Linked DNA regions of Anolis sagrei. The protein of the gene in region 1 purifies or fractionates together with the protein of each later gene. This does not show direct contact. Links are inferred from orthologs where the notes say so. Each region holds a gene or a part of one and is shown in the gene's direction. Other genes may lie near its edges.

Region 1 (7,889 bases):
CTGCCAAGAATATAAAGTTCAGCAAATTCCTCACTTGCCTTTCAAACTTCATTGATCAGAAGGTAGAAGAGGCAACAAAGAGATTGGGTATTTTAGATCTGTTCCTAATTAGCAGTGATGACTTCTTTAATAAGATCGAAGTGGAGAGAATGCTTAAAAAAGCACAATGTGACTGTTAAGGCCTGTGAAGCCTCTGAGAATGAGGATTTTCTGGTTGAGCCCAGTGTTTCTGTGGGGGGAAGTGAAAGTGTTTTTTTTTATACGATAGATATGTTTTGGGTAGATCTGTTGTTGGAGAAACAGTGATTCTCATGAGAATCAGCCAGGAATTGACTCTGAAATTAATGTGGAGACAACAGGTGGGTTACAGATTACCCAGCGTTTAGAGCTCCAAAGGGATAGTGTGAAACAGAGAGAAATGTAATGTTCTCGGAGACTGAAAGATAAACAAAGGGAACCCAGGTGTGCGATGATGTAGTGAATTCCCTACCTGTTAGGCTAGGAAAAGCCTAGAAAAGTAAGCCCAGGAAGTTTGTCAGCCATTTTGGAAAGGATGCTGGGGGGGGGGGGGTCCATTTTAAATCTCATTTCCTGAAGGGGGCATGCTTAGGAGCTTGGAGGGAAAGGAGAGGAGTTAGTGATTGGCTGGGAGAAAGTGGGCGGAGCTTAACTTAGAAAAGGGAAAAAATGACTTTAAGGGGGCGTTTTAAAACCCTGGGTGTTGAAGAGATAGGTTCTGGTGTTTGTGTGAGTCAGACAGACTCTGGGTTTTAAAGAAGGTAGATTACAGTAGTATTCAGAGAGCTATTAGAGAAAGAATAGCTGAAATACTGAAGAGAAAGGACTGTTTGAAGTCAAAGAAGTCTAGTCAGAGGGAAGACTGCTAGATTTTTGTGAGGGAGTTAAGAGTTTAAGTGCAACCAAGAAGTGTTTAAGAATTGAACTGTTCTTTGAAGTAACCACACACGTTTATTCATTACTGCAACCGTTAAGCTTAAGTGCCTGTATTGCCAAAGTTCACACAAATAAACAACTTTGTTCTTTGTTCAAACAATTGCCTCAGCGTGCCTCTAAAGAGAAGAATTTCTAAACAAGTTAGAGAAACATTCTATACATTTGGTGGCAGCGAAGACTTAAAAGATTCTCTATAAGAATCACCTCAGCATAGTGCTTTAAATGGTGGCATAGGCCTGAAGATCTAGTTCAAGTTAAATGCCCTAAGTCTCTACAGATGACGTGAGAGTGATGTCATGGACACGAGTATTCTTAAGGAATTGGAGTCAATGTTCGCTGGGGAGATCAACATTGGATTTTCATATGTCGTTGCCTGTCTTGGGAGCTCCGAGTTAGGGGTTCTCTTCTTGGGTCTGTATCTTGTTTTCCTGTTTAAGTTCCATGCTCCCAGTTTGGATTACAAATCTTGTTTTGGGATTCAAGCCTTTGGGATTATGGTGAAGTTCAAGTATCAAGCCTTTGGATTATGGTCATGTTCATATTTCCAACCTTTTGGATAGAATTCTAGTTTAAGTGCAACAAACATTGTATTACAGTTTCTTGCTTTTGCCTTAAATGATTTTTGGAATTCGTGTTCAGAGTTGGTCATTGCTTTTTGTTAAGCTTCTGGAACTCTAGCTCACAGATGTATTTTCAAATGGATTTTTATATTCAATATTCTTTTCTTAATTAACTTACTATTCCTGTTCATCTGTGTGGTGTTTGGGATCAAGTAGGTGGCTTGGCTGTAACAGTGATGTGACAGCTAAAAAGCCAATGAAATTCTAGGCTGTGTTGCACTCCAGCCAGGATAGCCCTCTGACTTTAAACATCACACAGCTGAGTAAAAATGCAAGTAGTTTATTGAAGATAATTAAAAAGCAGTAGCAGTAAAAAAAACTCCATAAAAATAGGTAAATCCAAATAGGTAGAAAGATAAGCAGAAACAAATAGTCCAGGAAATTAGTCCATCAAAGTTCATGAAAAACAAATACAGAAACTTCCAAGGTAAAACTCCAAAACTTGAACCATGAAATCAAACAAGGCACTTAACACATGAATCTATCCAAGGCAAGGCTTCCAAGGACCAGGAAAAATGTCTTGACTCAATTCCAATGTTGCTTCATCTGACTATAGATTCTGTACTTGGCACTTTTATCCCCTAATTTACCCTATGTCCCAAGCGGCCAGGAACAGATTTCCTTTCACCTTTGACTCTGTTATCAATTTCTCTCTCCGTCTGGCAGAACGCCAGAGATATTGGTTTGTTTGCCTGTGCTGACTGAAAATATCCTTCTCTATACTGGCTCATTAATTTCTGTAGTTGGCTCAGGTTTCGAGCTTTTCTCAAGCTCAAAGTCCTGGGAATTCTCTGGTAGCAATTCAGGTCCTCTTCCTGGGACCATACCATCATCCTCAAACCCTTCAGGAACATTCTCATCAGGAAAGACACTTTGAACGGGAATTCCATTGTCATTCTCTGCATCTAAAGCAACCTCATAATTAGAAACATCATTGTCATTCTCAACATCGAGAGTATCCTGATCATTAGACACAATCACTCATGTGGACCACTATGTCCAGTTCTTGGGACTGCAATTCAAGAAACTAAGTATCCAGAGGTGGGGAACTGAAATGGTAAAAGATCTGGAAACTATGCCACTGATCTACCTCACCTCATTCCATCACGTTAAGCAGTTCCTGATAACAGAGGATGGTAGAAAGCTATAAGAGATTTTACTCCTCTTTCATAATTCCTTTTTGTGTCAGAGTAGGTTCTCAACATCTCCATCTTATGTGCAAACAGGCAATACAGGCAGTCCCCAAGTTACAGACAAGATAGGTTCTGTAAGTTTGTCCTTGTTGAATTTGTATGTACGCCAGAACAGGTACATTTATGAAGTGTAATTTCGCCACGCGTTGCTGTGGCCTAGTCTGTTGATATGGAAAATAAAATAATGAGAAAGAGTTGGTTTCTAATATATGTAATGTGTTGATGCTTGTGGGTAAACAGTATTTCTTGCTGTTTCTTTGTCAATGTTGATATGGAGATTGTCTGGTTTGCCTACTCTGGAACATGCAACATAAAATTGTCCTTCTTCAGGGGTCCCTTTCAGATCTATGATACTTTATTTGTGTGTGTGTGGATCATATGTATCTATATTTATGGCTGGATGGCTCTATGTTAGAAGGGCTTTGATTATGTTTTCTTGCCCTGGTGAAGGGACTTGGACTGGATGGCCTTGAGTATTTTCTGTTGGTCATGGAGGTTCTGTGTGGGAAGTGTGGCCCAATTCTGTCGTTGGTGGGGTTCAGAACACTCTTTGATTGTAGGTGAACTATATATCCCAGTAACTACAACTCCCAAATGTCAAGGTCTATTTCCCCCAAACTCCATCTGTGTTCATATTTGGGCATATGGAATATTTGTGCCAAGTTTGGTCCAGATCCATCACTGAGTCCATGGTAGTATCTGGATGTGGATGAACTACAATTCCCAATCTCAAGGTCAATGCTCACCAAACCCTTCTAGTGTTTTCTGTTGGTCATGAGAGTCCTGTATGCCCCGGTTGGTTCAATTCTATCATGCTATTTGATTGTAGGTGAACTATAAATCCCAGCAACTACAACTCCCTATCTATCTATCTATCTATCTATCTATCTATCTATCTATATCTATGGCTGGATGGCTCGTCAGGAGGACTTTGGTTATGTTTTCTTGCCCTGGTGAAGGGAGTTGGATTGGATGGCCTTAAGTATTTTCTGTTGGCCATGGGGGTTCTGTGTGGGAAGTTTGCCCCGATTCTGTTGTTCATGGGGTTCAGAATGCTCTTTGATTGTAGGTGAACTGTGAATCCCAGTGACTACAACTCCCAAATATCAAGGTCTTTCCCCCCCAAACTCCATCATATTTGGGCATATTGAGTGCTTGTGCCAAGTTTGGTCCAGATCCATAATTGTTTGAGTCCACAGTGGGTTTCATCTCATTTCCATCCCTGTGACAATTGGGATTTTGAAAAAATTGGCTTGATGTGGAAACAAGGATTGGTGATAAAGCTTCATTGGAGACACCTTTTCTCCATGATAAAACTGTGAATCCCAGTCCACTTAGATCAGGGGTCCTTTTTAAACAAGAGGGCCAGGTCACAGTCCCTCAAACTGTTGGAGGGCCGGATTATAATTTGAAAAATAAAGCATGAATTCCTGTGCATGCTTCACATACCTTATTTGTAGTGTAATAAACACTTAAAAACAATAAATAATTAAAATGAGGAACAATGTTAACAAATATAAACTTATGAGTATTTCAATGGGAAATGTGGGCCTGCTTTTGGCTGATGAGATAGGATTGTTGTTGTTGTTGTGTGCTTTCAAGTCGTTTCAGACTTAGGTTGACCTTGAGCGAGGGCCGGGTAAATGACCTTGGAGGGCCGCATCCGGCCCCCAGGCCTTAGTTTGAGGACCCCTGACTTAGATCATGTGGGATTTTCTGTCTTGATATACTGGGATATAGGGCTGTGTGGAAGGGACCCCTGTTCTAAAAATACAAAATCGTGCTTGCCTCGATGACTAAGCTGCCTACTATGCCCTCAAACCCTGCTGAGCCGGGAAGGGACATGCAAAGGCCCAACTAAGGCTGGGGCCTCTTCCACACAGCTGAATAAAAGTCCACATTATCTGCTTTGAACTGGAATATATGGCAGTGTGGACTCAGATAACCCGGTTCAAAACAGATATTGTGGGGTTTTCTGCCTTGATATTCTGGGCTATAGGGCTGTGTGGCAGGGCCCTGGGCTTGAAGGGGAAGAAGAGCATGGGGAGGACTGAGGCGGGGGGGGGGGGGGAGAGACGGAGGGAGGGCTCCACCCAGAAACAAAATGGCGGCCGCGCGGATGTTTCTCCTCCTCTCACTCACGACACATCCGGAGGGGGAGGTACAGGGACCGGAAGTGGGTCGCGCTTCCAAGATGGCGACTCCCTATGTGACTGATGAAACCGGTGAGTGGGAAAGCGGCGGTTGGGCTGGGAGGAGGCGAGGGGGGGGCCCGGGAGCGACTCTGAGCTCCTGTCCTTCTACCTCGCAATGGGGCCTTGCCGCCTTCCGACGACGACGACGCCCCTCCCATCCTCCGTCCTCGCGCGCCCAGGCTCCACCTTTCGCTTTCATCCGCCGCGGGGCCACGCCCACTGCGCGAGAGGCTCTTCCCGGACAGGATTATCCCCCGCCGGGCTCTTCTCCCCCTGTGGACCCCCTCCCTCCGCTCCTACTCATTGGAAGCTCACCCTTCTCCCTTTTCCCGCTTCCAAGAGCCTCCGGTTGAAAGGATGAGCCATGGTTCACCCTTGGGCTTGTTTATTCCTATCTAAATATAATAATAATAATAATAATAATAACAATAAATAATAATAACAATAAATAATAGTCTAAATAGCACAACTTGTGGGACGCTTTCCCCATATTCTTCTATGGGCGATTTTTGTCTATGGTGGGTGAATCTCTCCCACTTGCCCATTCACTAAATGGATAAAAAATGCCTGGATTTAAATGGAAGTGCCTCAGGGCCCTTCCACACAGCCAGAATGTCAATTCAGATATGCTTGCTTTGAATTGGAATATATGGCAGACCCAGTTCAAAGCCGATATTGTGGGATTTTCTGCTTTGATATTCTGGATTGTATGGCTGTGTGGAAGGGCTCTCGGATAAGCATATCTGTAGGCCCCTTCCACACAGCTGAATAAAATCCCACATTATCTGCTTTGAGTTGGAATATATGGCAGTGTAGGCCCTTCCACGCAGCCCTATATCTCAGAATATCAAGGCAGGAAATCCCACAATATCTGCTTGGAACTGGGTTATCTGAGTCCACACTTAGAGCAGTGTAGGTAGGCCCTTCCAGACAGCCCTCTAACCCGGAATATCAAGGCAGAAGATTATTTATTTATTTATTTATTTACTTTGCTTATATACCGCTGTATCTCAAGCCCGAAGGCAACTCACAGCGGTTCACAAACAGTAAAAACGGTAGAAACAGCAGTGGTTCCATACAACATATAACAATTGACTTAACACATTATCCATAAATTACCAATAAGCAATTACAATGCACAATTATTACAAAAAACAACCGTACCCAATCTTCTCATCATCCAAGCGTAGTCCAGGTTCGTCGTCCATTGTTCCATTCCTATGTTCCATTACCAGATTGCACTAAATTACTCAAACGCCTGCACAAACATCCAGGTCTTCACCTTTTTGTGGAATACCATTAGAGATGGTGCTAGTCTAATGTCCGTAGGAAGGGCGTTCCACAGCCGAGGAGCCACCACCGAGAAGGCCCTATCTCTCGTCCCTGCCAGCCGACTTGAGAAGCAGGCGTGATCGAGAGCAGGGTCTCCCCGGAAGATCTCAAAGTCTTGGTGGGTTCATAGGCAGAGATGCGGTCAGATAGGTAGCTTGGGCCGGAACCGTTTAGGGCTTTAAAGGCCAACGCCAGCACTTTGAATTCAGCACTTTGAAGATCCCACAATATCTGGGTTATCTGAGTCCACACTCAGATCATGTGGGATTTCCTGCCTTGAGATTCTGGGATATAGGGCTGTGTTGTGGGATAGGACTGTGTGGAAGGGCCCTACCTGCCTTGAACTGGGTTATCTGAGTCCACACTGCCATATACCCCAGTTCAAAGCAGAAAATGTGGGATTTTATTCAGCTGTTTTGAAGGGGGCCTAGTTCAAAGCATATACTGTGAGATTTTCCACCTTGATATTCTGGGATATAGGGTTGTGTGGAAGGGCCCTTTGACACCTTTGCCTTCTGGTGTTTTGTTGCACCCCAAATTAATTAACATGCGTATTACATTATTTCTGTGCAGTTTATATGAAACATAAATAAATTTGTTGTTTGAGCCTTGGGTCCCCTCTCTGAGGTATTTTATTATGTATAGAGAAATATTCCCAGAATCTGAAAGAAAAGAAACCCAAAAATAATATCTCTGGTTTCTAACATCTTTGGGATGTACCTACACTGCAGGATTAATGCAGGTTTAACGCACTTTACCTACCAAGGTTCAGGGCCCTTCCACACAGCCCTATTGCCCAGAATACTAAGGCAGATAATTCACAATATCTGCTTTGAACAGGCTTAGCTGAGTCCACACTGCCATATAATCCAGTTCAAAGTGGATTTTATGCAGCTGTGTGGAAGGAGCGTCAATGCTCTCAAACCATGAGAGTTGTAGTTATCCAATGTCTTTAGCCTTCTCTGCCAGAAAGTGCTGGGTTCTCACCAAACTGCAACTCCCAGTATTCAACAGCCTGAGCCATGGCAGTTAAAGTGGGGTCAAACTGCATTAAATCTACAGTGTAGAGGCAACACTGGATAAGGGATACACAACCTGCGGGGTGGGTGTGTATAAACACACACACACACACACATGCTGTTTATCATTGCATAGCACTTAAATATAAAAATGAAGGCTTTAGACTGCAGGTATCTAATAGCCTTTTTTCTATTCCACCCAATAAGAAAATAATCAGATGCAAATTATATTATTTGTGAGCAGATGGATTTTTTTTCTGGGACCTGCAAATATTGCTTCCTTTAATGAAGGTTTTCAATATGAATGTATGTACTTAACCTTCCAGTAATTGCCAGAGTTACTATTAGCTGTTAATGAGTATATTCATTTTGGGAGATTCTATTTAAATGTATTAACTACATTTATGTTTTTCAGTTCCTTCATGGGGATCACACTTCTTTTTAATTTATCCTCACAATACTTTTTAGGGAATTAGTTGTCTGCAACTTACACATGAAACTATTGCCCCTTCTACACTGCCATATAATCTACATAATCTACTTTGAACTGGATTATATGAGCCTACACTGCCATAA
Region 2 (7,534 bases), on another chromosome or scaffold:
CCCCATCGTGGTCCCTGTGAATCGCACATATGGTATTGCCTGTGCAGACAGTTCGGAATCTTCTAGAAAACTTACTAGACACTTTTAGGCGGTAGCCCCGCCCATTCTCCCCTTGAGAGTATATATAGCCAGTAGGAGGGGCTATTACCTCGGATCCACTTCAGCCATTGTTGCAATGACTTTTCCCATTTGTTCAAATTTGGACTTGCAAAGATTTCAGTCGTTGTTGCAATACTTTCTTCCGTCAAAGCTGAATTTACAAAGTTGTTGTTGTAACGCCTTTCCCCATTATTCAAACCTGGACTTGCAAAGATTTTTGCAATACTTTCTTCCGTCAAATTTGGACTTGCAAAGATTTCAGTCGTTGTTGCAATGAGTTTTCCTCATCGTGGTCCCTGTGAATCGCACATATAGTATCGCCTGCGCAGACAGTTCGGAATCTTCTAGAAAACTTACTAGACACTTTTAGGTGGTAGCCCCGCCCACTCTCCCCTTGACGAGTATATATATCCAGTGGGAGGGGCTAGGTACAGTATTAAGTGGAAGTGTAGCATTGCCAGGAAAAAAACCTTGTTTTTGGTTTCTTGCTATGGATATAATGCCTAATTTTTAGGAATCTCGTGCATAAACCGTATGGAAGGGAAGTGTTATATTCTTCAATGGATAGGATCCATAATTGTAGGGAAAGTCACATAGTGAAGATAGGCTCTGCGTTACAACCCCAGAAGCACAAATTCGAATTCATTTGGTTGGAAATTTCCTAAAATTTCCGATTTGTTTACATTCAGAAAGGGATTTTCGTACGAAAAATTTCCGAGATCTAATGGAACGTAGTCTCTTCCCAAAATTGAGGGGCGAAAACACTTTTGGCCCCTGCGATTCGTGTCCCGGAAATAAGTCTTGTACCTTTTATATATATATATATATTAAAGTATATGTATCTATTTTTATATAGCACTTTGTTTACACTGCAGTATTGATGTTTATAAACGCATTTACTACAAAACGGCCCTCGAAGGGTTGCCTCCGGTTTTGTTCTCACGATGTTCTGTACTGGTTTTTGTAATTTTTTAAAAGTACAATAAAAGTAGCGTATCCTGCGTGGCTCGTTCTTTTCTTCATACGCTTTCCCCTTCGCTCTTTCCATCCTTTCTTTCCCTCTTCCGTTGCTTTGCTTCATATGCCGTTAGTCCTCTTCGTTTCTCGTTCTTCTCACTCCGTCCCTCTTTCCCTTCTTTTCCTTTCTTTCCTTCCCTCCTCTTGTGCCTTTCCGTCTTTCATTTCTCTTCCTTCCTTTTTCTTTCTTTCCTCAGTTATTTCCCTTTTCTTCTTCTCCTCCCCTCATATCTTTCCCTTCTTTTTCATCTTTTCCTCCTTTTTCTCTCCCTTCTTTTTCTTTCGTTCTGCCCTCCCCTTGTACCTTCCTCCTTTCCTTTCTCTTCATTCCCTCCTTTTTTCTCTCTCCCTTTCCTCCCTTTTTTCTCCCTTCCCTTCTTTTTCTTTCTTCCCTCCCCTTGTACCTTCTCCCTTTCCTTTCTCTTCATTCCCTCCTTTTTTCTCTCTCCCTTTCCTCCCTTCCCTTCTTTTTCTTTCTTCCCTCCCTTTGTACCTTCCCCCTTTCCTTTCTCATTCCCTCCTTTTTTCTTCCTCCCTCCCTTTCCTCCCCTTTTTCTTTCTTCCCTTCCTTTACTTCCCTTCTTTTTCTTTCTTTCTTTCCTCCCCTTCTACCTTCCCTCTTTCTTTTCTCTTCATTCCCTCCTTTTTTCTTTCTTCCCTTCCTTTACTTCCCTTTTTTTTCTTCCCTTCCCTTGTACCTCCCCCCTTCCCTTTCTCTTAATTCCCTCCTTTTTTCTTTCTTCCCTTCCTTTACTTCCCTTTTTTTTCTTTCTTTCTGTCTTCCCCTTGTACCTCTCCCTTTCCTTTCTCTTCATTCCCTTCTTTTTTCTTCCTCCCTCCCTTTCCTCCCTTTTTTCTTACATCCTTTCCTTTACTTCCCTTCTTTTTCTTTCTTCCCTTCCTCCCCTTCTACCTTCCCGCTTTCTTTTCTCTTCATTCCCTCCTTTTTTTCTTTCTTCCCTTCCTTTACTTCCCTTTTTTTTCTTTCTTTCTGTCTTCCCCTTGTACCTCTCCCTTTCCTTTCTCTTCATTCCCTTCTTTTTTCTTCCTCCCTCCCTTTCCTCCCTTTTTTCTTACGTCCTTTCCTTTACTTCCCTTCTTTTTCTTTCTTCCCTTCCTCCCCATCTACCTTCCCGCTTTCTTTTCTCTTCATTCCCTCCTTTTTTTCTTTCTTCCTTTCCTTTACTTCCCTTTTTCTTTCTTTCTTCCCTCCCCTTGTACCTCCCCCTTCCCTTTCTCTTCATTCCCTTTTTTCTCCCTCCCCTTTCTCTTCCTTCCCTTCCCTTCCTTTTTCTTCCTTCCTTCCCTTGTACCGTACCCTTTTCCTTTCTCTTAATTCCCTCCCTTTTTCCTTCCTTTCCTTCCCTTCTTTTCTTTCTTTCTTTCCACCCCTTATACCTTCCCCCTTTCCTTTCTCTTCGTTCCCTCTTTTTTTCTTTCTCCCTCCATTTTCTCCTTTTTTTCCCTTCTCTTCCTTTACTTTCCTTCTTTTTCTTTCTTTCTTCCCTCCCCTTATGGCAGAACCAATTAGGATCTACCATTTATTATGAAATTTTGAAACTTTTGTTAGAGTTCTGAAATTTTCACCACCACAACTTTACCAACACTGTAAAAGCAAAGCACCAGCGCCCCCTAGTTTTCACTACCAGAACTTTAGTTTTGTAAGTACTTTAGAACCATAGATTGCACATGCCTAGTGTGTATGTGTACACACACACACACTCCACTTGCTACCTCTATGCAAATACCCTTTCTGACTGACTTTGCAAATTTCACGGCTGCTCAAGGCTATTCAAGCTTTCTCATCCACACTTGCTTCACACAGACGAGGGTTCTTTCTCCCACCCTGGACTTCATTCCACGGGGATATATACACTCCACTTCCCTCACTACTTCTGTGCAGATACCCTCACTGATATCTATTCAGCACTACCCACACTTGCTTACTGCAACATCCACACTTGCTTTAAACAGACACGGGTTCTTTCTCCCACCCTGGGCATGATTAACAACACTACCCATTCAGTGCTAAGGCTCCACGCCAAAATGGAACTGTAGAGGAGAGTCTACTGAACGAGCCAGTACCTGCCACATACATTGCTTAAGTCGCATTGACCGACCGTCTGTGCAGGGTTCCATACTTTGCACTTTAACAACACAACCGTTCAATGCTAAGGCTTCCCACCAAAATGGAACTGTAGAGGAGAGTCTACCGAACAAGCCAGTACCTGCAGCATACATTGCTTAAGTCGTATTGACCGACTGTCTGCGCAGGGCTCCATACTTCACGCTTTAACAACACAACCGTCCAATGCTAAGGTTTCCTGCTAAAATGGAACTGTAGAGGAGAGTCTACTGAACAAGCCAGTACCTGCCACATACGTTGCTTAAGTCACATTGATCGACCGTCTGTGCAGGGTTCCATACTTTGCACTTTAACAACACAACCGTTCAATGCTAAGCCTTCCCGCCAAAATGGAACTAGAGAGGAGAGTCTACCGAACAAGCCAGTACCTGCAGCATACATTGCTTAAGTCGTATTGACCGACTGTCTGCGCAGGGCTCCATACTTCACGCTTTAACAACACAACCGTCCAATGCTAAGGTTTCCTGCTAAAATGGAACTGTAGAGGAGAGTCTACTGAACAAGCCAGTACCTGCCACATACGTTGCTTAAGTCACATTGATCGACCGTCTGTGCAGGGTTCCATACTTTGCACTTTAACAACACAACCGTTCAATGCTAAGCCTTCCCGCCAAAATGGAACTGTAAAGGAGAGTCTACTGAATGAGCCAGTACTTGTCGCATACATTGCTTAAGTCGCATTGACCGACTGTCTGCGCAGGGCTCCATACTTCACACTTTAACAACACAACTGTTCAATGTTAGGGCTTCCTGCCAAAATGGAACTGTAGCGGAGAGTCTACTGAATAAGCCAGTACCTGCCGCATACGTTGCTTACATCGCATTGACCAACTGTTTGCGCAGGGTTCCATACTTTGCACTTTAACAACACAACCGTTCAATGCTAAGGCTTCCTGCCCAAATGAAACTGTAGAGGAGAGTCTACTGAACGAGCCAGTACCTGCCGCATACATTGCTGTCCAGGGGGAGGTGGCCTACAGAAGGCTCAACGTTAAGAACGGAAACTACCAAGAGAGCGTTTCTCTTTCCACCTCCAGACCCTTCCCTTCTTTTAAGTCCAACCACGAAGGCTTTGCCTGCCAGGTGGGGTCCGGATCCACCCAGCCGTTTTTGAACCTTGTTGGGACAAACCAACAAATCCACGTCGACGACCTTCTCAAGATGGCGCCTGCGCGGGGGACGCCGCGTTTCTGCGCAGGCGCGACTGGGCGACCTCCTCTGGACGTCTCCGCCCCCTTCCTTTGGCGCTGAAGGGAGTGCGCATGCGCAGAGACGCTCCTTCTCTTGCTGTGTGGGAGTAGGCCGCGGAGCCTGTCGTGTCGTACTCTTCGGTGTTTCGGGCTCTCCTCGCGATGGCGGACGTCTTGGACCTCCACGAGGCCGGCGGAGAGGACTTCGCCATGGACGAGGACGGCGACGGTGAGTGAGCAGCCCAAGCCAGGCCCTGGCCTCACTAATTTAGGGCCCGCCTGAGGCCTAGTCGCCTCCGGTTGAGCGGAAGTGACGTCGAACTACATCCCCCAGAAGCTCTTGCCGGCCACGGCAACGGTGGAGCATTCTGGGAAATGGAGTCCAGTACTACTTTAGCGCCTATTGCGGCCTGTAGCGTGTAGATGGATGGACAAATAGATAAATAAATAGATATACACAATGCTCTCTTGCGTGTAGATCTCTTATCTGTATTTTATTATTAATTAAATTTAATAATATGTAATTTTATGTGTATCTATCTATTATTTATTATGTGTATTATTTATTATGTGTATCTGTATATATATATATATAATTTGGATCTTACATTTGGGTCTATATATTTTTATTATTTAATAATATCAATAATATAATAAATAAATATATTATTTGTATTTTATTATTAATTAAATTTAATATATAATTTTATGTGTGTCTATTTATATTATTATTATTTGATGCAATACATTATATAATATATTATAGTGTGTGTATATAATTTTGTGTCTATATCATTTAATATAATTTAATAATAATATTTAATAGTAATTCAATAAGTTTTATATGTGATATAATATATTATTTTGTCTGTGTATATATATATAATTTGGATTTTAAATGTGTGTCTATATAATTTATTATTATTATTTAATAATATAATAAATAAATAAGATTATTATATGCAATATATTATATTATTTTATGTGTGTTTGTGTGTGTGAATAATAAAATATTATTTCTATTTTATTAATTAAGTTTAATATATAATTTTATGTGTGTCTATCTATATTATTTATTATGTGTATCTATATTATTTTTATATGAAATATAATATATTATTTTGTGTGTGTATGTATATATATATGTATAATTTGGATCTTAAATTTGTGTCTATATAATTTTTTATTTAATAATAATATTAATAATATAATATTAAAATAAGATGATTATATGCAATATAATATATTATTTTGTGTGTGTATATATATATAATTTGGATCTTAAATTTACATCTATATAATTTATTAAGTTGTAATGTTTTGGATTGTGAACCGCTTTGATTCTTCGTATGGAGAGATCAAGCAGGATACAATAATAATAATAATAATAATAATAATAATAATAATGTGTATCCTAAATTGTAGAAGTGATCAGCCTTCATTGTATGTTTTTTCCCTCTCTCTCACACACACACACACACACATATATATATATCTTTGCGCTCCTCTGTCTTATCTATGTATATAAACTATGTTAACATACACCTACTGTGGTTGTTGTTGTTGTTTTGTGAATTTGACCGTTGTTTAATCAAACTCTATGTGGTCTCTCTGCAGAAAGCATCCACAAACTGAAGGAAAAAGCAAAGAAAAGGAAAGGCCGAGGCTTCGGATCAGGTAAGGCGACTCAACCTTATGATGATGGTGATGATGATGAAGATAATAATAATTCACCTTAATAGCAATCCTACAAAACTCATCCTGTTCGTACCTTGCCTATATTAAATAGTGTTGAGTTTGATCCATGCTGTGCCTTACTTTGGGGTGGGAAATATATACATCTATTATTATTATTATTATTTTCATATTAATATTAATATTATATTATTATTATTAAATTACATATTAAATTTAATTAATAATAAAATACAAATAATAATATTATATATATATATATATACACACACACACACAAACACACACAAAATAATATATTATATTGCATATAATATTTATTATATATTATTAACATTATTATTAAATAATAATAAATTAGACAGATTTAAGATCCAAATTATATATACACACACACAAAATAATATATATTGCATATAATAATCTTATTTTATTATTATATAATAATATATTGCATTAAATAATAATAAATAATATAGATACACATAAATAATATAGATAGACATGCATAAAATTACATATTAAATTTAATTAATAATAAAATACAAATTTTATATATATATATATATATACACACACACAAACACACATAAAATAATATATTGCATATAATAATCTTATTTATTTATTATATTATTAATAATATTATATTATTATTGTGGGAGAGAAGCCTCCCACAAGGATGATAAAAACATCCAATCATCTAGGTGGCGTCCCCTGGGCAATGTCCTTGCAGACGGCCAATTCTCTCACACCAGAAGCAACTTGCAGTTTCTCAAGTCGCTCCTGACATGACAAAAAATAATAATAATTACTATTATTATCATATTAGTTTATTATGTAACCTTAGCGGTTGTACGTTTTCGGTAGTGTGTTTTTGGCTGCTTTGGGTCTGTTTTTAAGAGAGAGCTTTAAAGTACATTCTAAAGTACGAAAACACTAGATGTTACGAAGAAGAAGCAAGTTTAAAATAATATAATAATAGTTTTGAAGCTGTATGTTTTATTTTTCACCAATGTAAGTCTCTAAGAGAAAAAGAGAGATATTATTCATAACTAGCCGTCCCCTGCCATGCGTTGCTGTGGCTCAGTCTGTGTATAAGTGTTTTGTGTGTGTATATATGTGTACATGTGTATATATGTGGTTTTGCGCACGCGTTGTAATGTATTTTTTAAGTCCCTTCCGCTGTGTTTTCCAGTGTTTTTGTGAGTGATAGTCACTCGTTGGCCTGATAAGTGGATTGTGACCAAATTTGGTGTCCATTCGTCCAGTGGTTTTTGAGTTATGCTAATCCCACAAACGAACATTACATTTTGATTTATACAGATAAGTAAAAAGCACCTAAGTAAAAAGCACTTTAAAGGAATAGGTAAATCCAATTAGGTAA

The links.
Region 2: the proteins of PYM1 (region 1) and RBM8A purify together in Homo sapiens (co-immunoprecipitation; 11 studies listed by BioGRID and IntAct, counting the BioPlex papers as one, with this or other methods). This does not show direct contact. The link is inferred for Anolis sagrei from reciprocal best matches to the Homo sapiens genes PYM1 and RBM8A.

What each region holds. Positions count from the first base shown.
Region 1 is NC_090022.1:146,357,720-146,365,608, reverse strand, and holds the start of PYM1 (partner of Y14 and mago), read left to right. Parts: upstream 1-4,871; coding exon 4,872-4,992; intron 4,993-7,889. UniProt on the Homo sapiens protein: Key regulator of the exon junction complex (EJC), a multiprotein complex that associates immediately upstream of the exon-exon junction on mRNAs and serves as a positional landmark for the intron exon structure of genes and directs post-transcriptional processes in the cytoplasm such as mRNA export, nonsense-mediated mRNA decay (NMD) or translation.
Region 2 is NC_090032.1:21,384,523-21,392,056, reverse strand, and holds the start of RBM8A (RNA-binding protein 8A), read left to right. Parts: upstream 1-4,522; 5' UTR 4,523-4,614; coding exon 4,615-4,681; intron 4,682-6,069; coding exon 6,070-6,129; intron 6,130-7,534.